2 linked regions of the Xenopus tropicalis genome follow. The protein of the gene in region 1 purifies or fractionates together with the protein of each later gene. This does not show direct contact. Links are inferred from orthologs where the notes say so. Each region holds a gene or a part of one and is shown on either strand. Other genes may lie near its edges. The genes, in order: serbp1 and rbm42.

Region 1 (3,817 bases):
ATCCTGGTGCATATACAGATTTTGAAATGCTGCAAAGCTTGCCTTAATAGCAAGTTCTTGATGATATAGATATATAGATAGGATATATATATATATATATATATATATATATATATATATATATATATATATATATATATATATATATATATATATATATATAGTAACTTAAGTTTATTTTGATTGACTAACCTGATACAAAAGTATTTAAAGTTACTTTAGTGTGACAAGTCCCCTTTAAGAAAGAAACCAGATTGTTTAAAAATACCTCCAAGTTTATGCCGACATGACCAGTTTACTAAAATGGTTTAGAGAGGCTTTGTTAACGTTTTATTTTAATCAACATCAGGAAACCCACTTTTAATCCACAATCTTATTTTACTCAATCACAACATTTTAGCACCCTACCTTAATTCATCCTTAACAGTGCCCCAGTTGTGTGATCCACTTCCTCCCCGTTTATCCTCATGCTTTGGGCCACTGAAATGTGAAGAACTAGCCAAAATGAGTTATATTGTCAGTGTTTGAGCATGGAGATTAGGGAAGCACAAAGAAATACAAGAAAGTCAACAACAAAAGCACTAGGCCAAGACTTACGCTCTGTCACTGCCACTATGCCTGTCAAATTCACGTTTTCCACGAGAGTCAAAGCCATCGCCCCTGCCCAAACCACGTCCACGACCGCCACGGCCACCCCTTCCACCAGGGCCACCGCGACCACGGATGGGCCTATCCACGATGGGTCTAAAAAATGAATAGATTCATTGCTATGTTTTTATTGTTAAACAATTAGAGATGCTGTTTGCGTTATAAAACTGAAGTGTTACATTTTTAGGTGAATTGCAACTTTAGTACACATTTAGTATAGTCAAGTTGTGGTGGTGTAAGAATCTGCAATTGATTTTTATTTATTTTTTTAATTGTGGAAGGAAGGAACCCCTTCACACAATTACAATAAAGATAAGGTGGTTTGAGGTGGTTACTATTCCCTTTAATGTAATCATTAGTATGCACAAACAGCTCAGCACTCTGTAAAGTTCAAAGAGTAACTGGGTCCTGCTGTTTCCAGCTAAATAAAAAACAGATACAGCATATAATTTCTATAGAAAATTAAAACAGCCAGATAGTGCTTTTAAAAGCACTTAAATTTACAAATCAAAACTGAAAATTTGTAATTGATGTATTTTGGAAAGTTGCTTACAAATTACATTTTATTTCACTATTCAAAAAAAAAAAAAGGGAAAACCCATGCCTCCTTAAACCATTAGGGGTGGTTCACCTTTACGTTAACTTTAAGTATGTTATAGAATGTCCTATTCCTAGCGACTTTGCAATTGATCTTCAGTATCTTTTTTTTTTTATAGTTTAATTATTTGCCTTCTGCCTCTACATCTTTTAAATGGGGGTCACTGACTCCAGCATCCAAAAATAATTGCTGTGCGATCTTGCAATATTATTATTTCTACCTTTAATTACTTATATTTCTATTCAGTCCCGCTCCATATTCCAGTCTCTCAGCAACCATGCAGTGGTTTAAATAAGGTAAACAAAACCCTAGCAACCAGATAACTGCTGAAATTCCAAAATGGAGTGCTGCTGAAAAAAAAAAAAAAATTGCAAACTCACAGAATCTCACTCTCTACATCATATATGCATACATAATATGCATACATAATGTTAATTTAAAAGTGGACAACCTCTTTAACAAAGTTCTAGTCTATCGTGTCCCAAAACATAGTATTAAGATACAGACTCAATAACACCAACAAGAGGTTTCTTCAGCTGACTTGTTCATGGGCAGGTAAAAAATCTGAAACTTGACACATCTGTCACTGTCCCTTAGAAGTGCTCTGCATTCACTGTTGCCCTGTCTTCTGTATCAACACATTGAACAGATTTTTCTCCCACCCAATAATAGATGCACAGCACAAGATTACTGGGTAAATTTCAGCAGTGGGTTTTAGGGGAACCTTTATTACTGTGGGTCAGTAACAGGAAGTAGCTTTTCTTTGGTGCTGGCTAGGGCAGCATTAAGGTGGCCATACACTAAGATCTGCTCGTTTAGCGAGGTCACCAAGCAAGCAGATCTTCTCATGATATGCCCACCACCTACACCATCGGTTTGGGGACCGCATTCCCTACCCAAATGAAAAATCAAATCTGCCCAATTTCAGGCCAGGCGTCAGTTGGGAAGGCCCACTGGTGGTGCCTATACACGGGTAGATAAGCTGCAAATTGATCTAAAGGACCAATATCAGCAACTGAAATCGCCCCATGTATGGCCGCTTTTACTCGTGTATCTAGGGCAGCAAAAGCTTTAAATATAGCCCTTGATATGATAACAGAGACCCAATTCTTCCTCAGGTGTGTTCAGTGTAAACAGTTCCCTTCAATAAATGGTCTATACATTTTACAATCTAAAAGCAACCTAAAATAAACATGTACATTAGCCAATTTAACATGAAACTTACCGGTCAACAGAAAATTCCCCTGCTTCTCCCTTTTCTTCAGTTGGTTTTTCAAAACGGCGTTCACGGGGTGGCCGCCTATCGGACTGCCTCCTGTCAACTGGCTTTCCTTCACCCTGTGATGACTGAGGTGGTTGCTGCTGCTGCTGTTGTTGTTGTTGTTGTTGCTGCTGCTGTTGTGTTGGTGGCTGCTGCGGCGGCTGCTGCTGCTGATCAGGTCTCCGACCAACCCGCCTGATAGCTGCAACACAGATATTAATGCACAAAGATTTGTAAAGATGTATAATCTTCTGAATTATACAGTAGTGAAATTATGAAGAGTAAATGCCCCATTTGACAGACATGGATACATTTGGTAAAAATTGGGTAGTGGGGCACTGCCTTAGATGTTTAAGATACACAGGTGAATGTATTTCATACAATTAAAAGGATTTTTTAAGTCTTGACCAGAAAGATGCGTGTTCATACACAGTTCCTTTATGGCTACAGGCTAATTAGTGTTAACCAATACATTTTCTGAGGAACACTAAGCAGCATGCCTAAAATTAAAGGTCACTAAGGGTATGCCCAGCTAATAATGTACACTGCTGGCCTATGACCAACTCTGTCAAAACCGCTTCAGTGAGTTAAGACACTTGCTAATGCAGTTAACAACAGATTTCCTATACCATCAGTAGTAAAGTGTTGTGCTCTCAACTCCCAGCAGAGGTCACTGTTTCTATGCAGGTTACTGATATTTAACTGGTTACTCTGAAAATGAACAGTAAGGCTGCCACAAATTAACAGCACAAAAATTTACAGAAATACCATAAGTCTTATGAAAGATAAATGTGCACAAAAAATCCCACACACCTTTTTATTATGCAAAACCATGTTTAAAAGGATTGTCAGGATTTCAGGATTCGTTGAGGTCTGGCATGGTGGCGAGAGACTGGCGAATTGCTAATGTGGTACCGTTATTTAAAAAGGGATCCCGTTCTCAGACTGAAAACTATAGGTCTGTTAGTCTGACATCAGTAGTAGGAAAACTTTTGGAAGGGGTAATATGGGATAGGGTACTTGAATACATTGCAGTTCACAATACTATTAGTTTGTGCCAGCATGGTTTTATGCGTAACAGATCTTGCCAGACTAATTTAGTCGCCTTTTATGAGGAGGTGAGCAGGAACCTCAATGATGGAATGGCAGTTGATGTCATCTACTTGGACTTTGCTAAAGCGTTTGATACAGTACCTCACAGAAGGTTAATGATCAAATTGAGGAATATTGGCCTAGAACATAATATCTGTAATTGGATAGAGAACTGGCTGAAGGTTAGATTACAAAGAGTGGTGGTAAATGGAACATTT
Region 2 (3,817 bases), on another chromosome or scaffold:
GCCCTGTGGTACCGTCTGCTCCAAAGATGAACCCTACCGTTATCCAAGCTGCCCCCACTGTCTATACTGCACCCCCAGTAAGGAAGCCAGAGGTAAGAGACCAGTTACATCCCATAATAGCGATACAAGGACGATGCTGCCCGGTCTGCGATTATAAGATATTTCTGTCTTTCAGGAGGAAATTGTGGAGCCGCCAATATTACCGGATGAGAAGGAAACTCTCAGCTTTGAAGAAGCCGTTATTGGCCCCAGTATGCCGGAAATGGAACCGGTGCAGCCCGAGGTGGGACCCTGGCGCTGGGATTGGGAGCAGGGAGCGCTGTATTGTGTTCTGGTGTCTAAAACCCTTACTGGTTCTGTTCTGTAGGTGGTACTGGAACCGGTACAGGAGGATAAAAAGAAAACAAAGCCGGAGAAATTAAAACGGTGCATTCGCACTGCGGCCGGAACATCCTGGGAAGATCAGAGCTTATTGGAATGGGAGTCAGGTGAGGCTCATTTTCATGGTCCCTTCAGTTGCCATATTAGCAGCTCTGTGCCCGACTTGGTCATCTGTGTGCCGGCCCAAATCTGGCTGCTCCAATCATTTGGCTCCCAGGCCACTAATGGGATCATCCCGGGGGCATATGGAATCCAATCAAAATAGGGCTGCCTTAAGGTAAGGCAAGGTTGCCAAGCGAGCGGATCTTCTCCCGATTTGCCAACCTACGGGTGGGCGATATTGGGCTAATTCGGTCGTTTGGCCCTAGGGCAAAATGATCGATTGAAAACAGCGGGTATAGGGGGTATAATGCAGCCCCTGCTCCAAGGGAAAATTAAACCTGCCCGATTGAGATCTGCCCGATTTCATGGTGAGGTTTGTGAGTCGTGCCCATACACGGGCAGATAAGGAGCCGGATTATTCTAAAGCAGGGGTAGGGAACCTATGGCTCGGGAGCCAGATGTGGCTCTTTTGATGGCTGCATCTGGCTCTCTGCCAAATCTTTAATAAAAAAAAATAATGGGGGGCGTGGCCTGCGCTTGGCGGATAGATGACGTGTTCTATGCCTTAGAACACGTCTTCTATCCGCTGAGCGCAGGCTACGCCCTTCTCCGCATCCGGCATCCTACCTTGCCCCTGCGCCCAGCGGATAGAACACGTGTTCTAAGCCTTAAAACGCATCTTCTATCTGCCGAGCGCAGGCCACGCCCACCTCCGCATCACATCCGGCATCCTTGGCACCCACCCTACCTTGCCCCGCAGCCAAACATATTGTATGCAGAGTGCCAGCTCTGCAGCTCCAACCCGGCCCAAGGGAAGTCTCCCATAGGGCTCAATGGCACTCTGCAGCTCCAACCCGGCCTAAGGGAAGTCTCCCATAGGGCTCAATGGCACTCTGCCGCTCCAACCCGGCCCAAGGAAAGTCTCCCATAGGGCTCAATGGCACTCTGCAGCTCCAACCCGGCCCAAGGAAAGTCTCCCATAGGGCTCAATGGCACTCTGCAGCTCCAACCCGGCCCAAGGAAAGTCTCCCATAGGGCTCAATGGCACTCTGCAGCTCCAACCCGGCCCAAGGAAAGTCTCCCATAGGGCTCAATGGCACTCTGCAGCTCCAACCCGGCCCAAGGAAAGTCTCCCATAGGGTTCAATGGCACTCTGCAGCTCCAACCCGGCCCAAGGAAAGTCTCCCATAGGGCTCAATGGCACTCTGCAGCTCACACCCGGCCCAAGGGAAGTCTCCCATAGGGCTCAATGGCACTCTGCAGCTCCAACCCGGCCCAAGGAAAGTCTCCCATAGGGCTCAATGGCACTCTGCAGCTCACACCCGGCCCAAGGGAAGTCTCCCATAGGGCTCAATGGCACTCTGCCGCTCCAACCCGGCCCAAGGAAAGCTTCCCATAGGGCTCAATGGCACTCTGCATCTCCAACCTGGCCCAAGGAAAGTCTCCCATAGGGCTCAATGGCACTCTGCAGCTCCAACCCGGCCCAAGGAAAGCCTCCCATAGGGCTCAATGGCACTCTGCAGCTCCAACCCGGCCCAAGGAAAGTCTCCCATAGGGCTCAATGGCACTCTGCAGCTCCAACCCGGCCCAAGGAAAGTCTCCCATAGGGCTCAATGGCACTCTGCCGCTCCAACCCGGCCCAAGGAAAGCTTCCCATAGGGCTCAATGGCACTCTGCAGCTCCAACCCGGCCCAAGGAAAGTCTCCCATAGGGCTCAATGGCACTCTGCAGCTCCAACCCGGCCCAAGGGAAGTCTCCCATAGGGCTCAATGGCACTCTGCAGCTCCAACCCGGCCCAAGGAAAGTCTCCCATAGGGCTCAATGGCACTCTGCAGCTCCAACCCGGCCCAAGGGAAGTCTCCCATAGGGCTCAATGGCACTCTGCAGCTCCAACCCGGCCCAAGGGAAGTCTCCCATAGGGCTCAATGGCACTCTGCAGCTCCAACCTGGCCCAAGGAAAGTCTCCCATAGGGCTCAATGGCACTCTGCAGCTCCAACCCGGCCCAAGGGAAGCCTCCCATAGGGCTCAATGGCACTCTGCAGCTCCAACCCGGCCCAAGGAAAGCCTCCCATAGGGCTCAATGGCACTCTGCAGCTCCAACCTGGCCCAAGGAAAGTCTCCCATAGGGCTCAATGGCACTCTGCAGCTCCAACCCGGCCCAAGGAAAGCCTCCCATAGGGCTCAATGGCACTCTGCAGCTCCAACCCGGCCCAAGGAAAGTCTCCCATAGGGCTCAATGGCACTCTGCAGCTCCAACCCGGCCCAAGGAAAGTCTCCCATAGGGCTCAATGGCACTCTGCAGCTCCAACCCGGCCCAAGGAAAGTCTCCCATAGGGCTCAATGGCACTCTGCAGCTCACACCCGGCCCAAGGGAAGTCTCCCATAGGGCTCAATGGCACTCTGCAGCTCCAACCCGGCCCAAGGGAAGTCTCCCATAGGGCTCAATGGCACTCTGCAGCTCCAACCCGGCCCAAGGAAAGTCTCCCATAGGGCTCAATGGCACTCTGCAGCTCCAACCCGGCCCAAGGAAAGTCTCCCATAGGGCTCAATGGCACTCTGCAGCTCACACCCGGCCCAAGGGAAGTCTCCCATAGGGCTCAATGGCACTCTGCAGCTCCAACCCGGCCCAAGGAAAGTCTCCCATAGGGCTCAATGGCACTCTGCAGCTCACACCCGGCCCAAGGGAAGCCTCCCATAGGGCTCAATGGCACTCTGCAGCTCACACCCGGCCCAAGGAAAGTCTCCCATAGGGCTCAATGGCACTCTGCAGCTCCAACCCGGCCCAAGGAAAGTCTCCCATAGGGCTCAATGGCACTCTGCAGCTCCAACCCGGCCCAAGGAAAGTCTCCCATAGGGCTCAATGGCACTCTGCAGCTCCAACCCGGCCCAAGGAAAGTCTCCCATAGGGCTCAATGGCACTCTGCCGCTCCAACCCGGCCCAAGGAAAGCTTCCCATAGGGCTCAATGGCACTCTGCAGCTCCAACCCGGCCCAAGGAAAGTCTCCCATAGGGCTCAATGGCACTCTGCCGCTCCAACCCGGCCCAAGGAAAGCTTCCCATAGGGCTCAATGGCACTCTGCAGCTCCAACCCGGCCCAAGGAAAGTCTCCCATAGGGCTCAATGGCACTCTGCAGCTCCAACCCGGCCCAAGGGAAGTCTCCCATAGGGCTCAATGGCACTCTGCAGCTCCAACCCGGCCCAAGGAAAGTCTCCCATAGGGCTCAATGGCACTCTGCAGCTCCAACCCGGCCCAAGGAAAGTCTCCCATAGGGCTCAATGGCACTCTGCAGCTCCAACCCGGCCAAGGAAAGCCTCCCATAGGGCTCAATGGCA

The links.
Region 2: the proteins of serbp1 (region 1) and rbm42 purify together in Homo sapiens (affinity purification with mass spectrometry; 3 studies listed by BioGRID and IntAct, with this or other methods). This does not show direct contact. The link is inferred for Xenopus tropicalis from reciprocal best matches to the Homo sapiens genes SERBP1 and RBM42.

The regions. Positions count from the first base shown.
Region 1 is NC_030680.2:83,574,608-83,578,424, reverse strand, and holds part of serbp1 (plasminogen activator inhibitor 1 RNA-binding protein), read right to left. Parts: intron 2,710-3,817; coding exon 2,472-2,709; intron 745-2,471; coding exon 598-744; intron 496-597; coding exon 409-495; intron 1-408. UniProt on the Homo sapiens protein: Ribosome-binding protein that promotes ribosome hibernation, a process during which ribosomes are stabilized in an inactive state and preserved from proteasomal degradation.
Region 2 is NC_030683.2:128,985,386-128,989,202, forward strand, and holds part of rbm42 (RNA-binding protein 42), read left to right. Parts: coding exon 1-92; intron 93-175; coding exon 176-283; intron 284-367; coding exon 368-488; intron 489-3,817. UniProt on the Homo sapiens protein: Binds (via the RRM domain) to the 3'-untranslated region (UTR) of CDKN1A mRNA.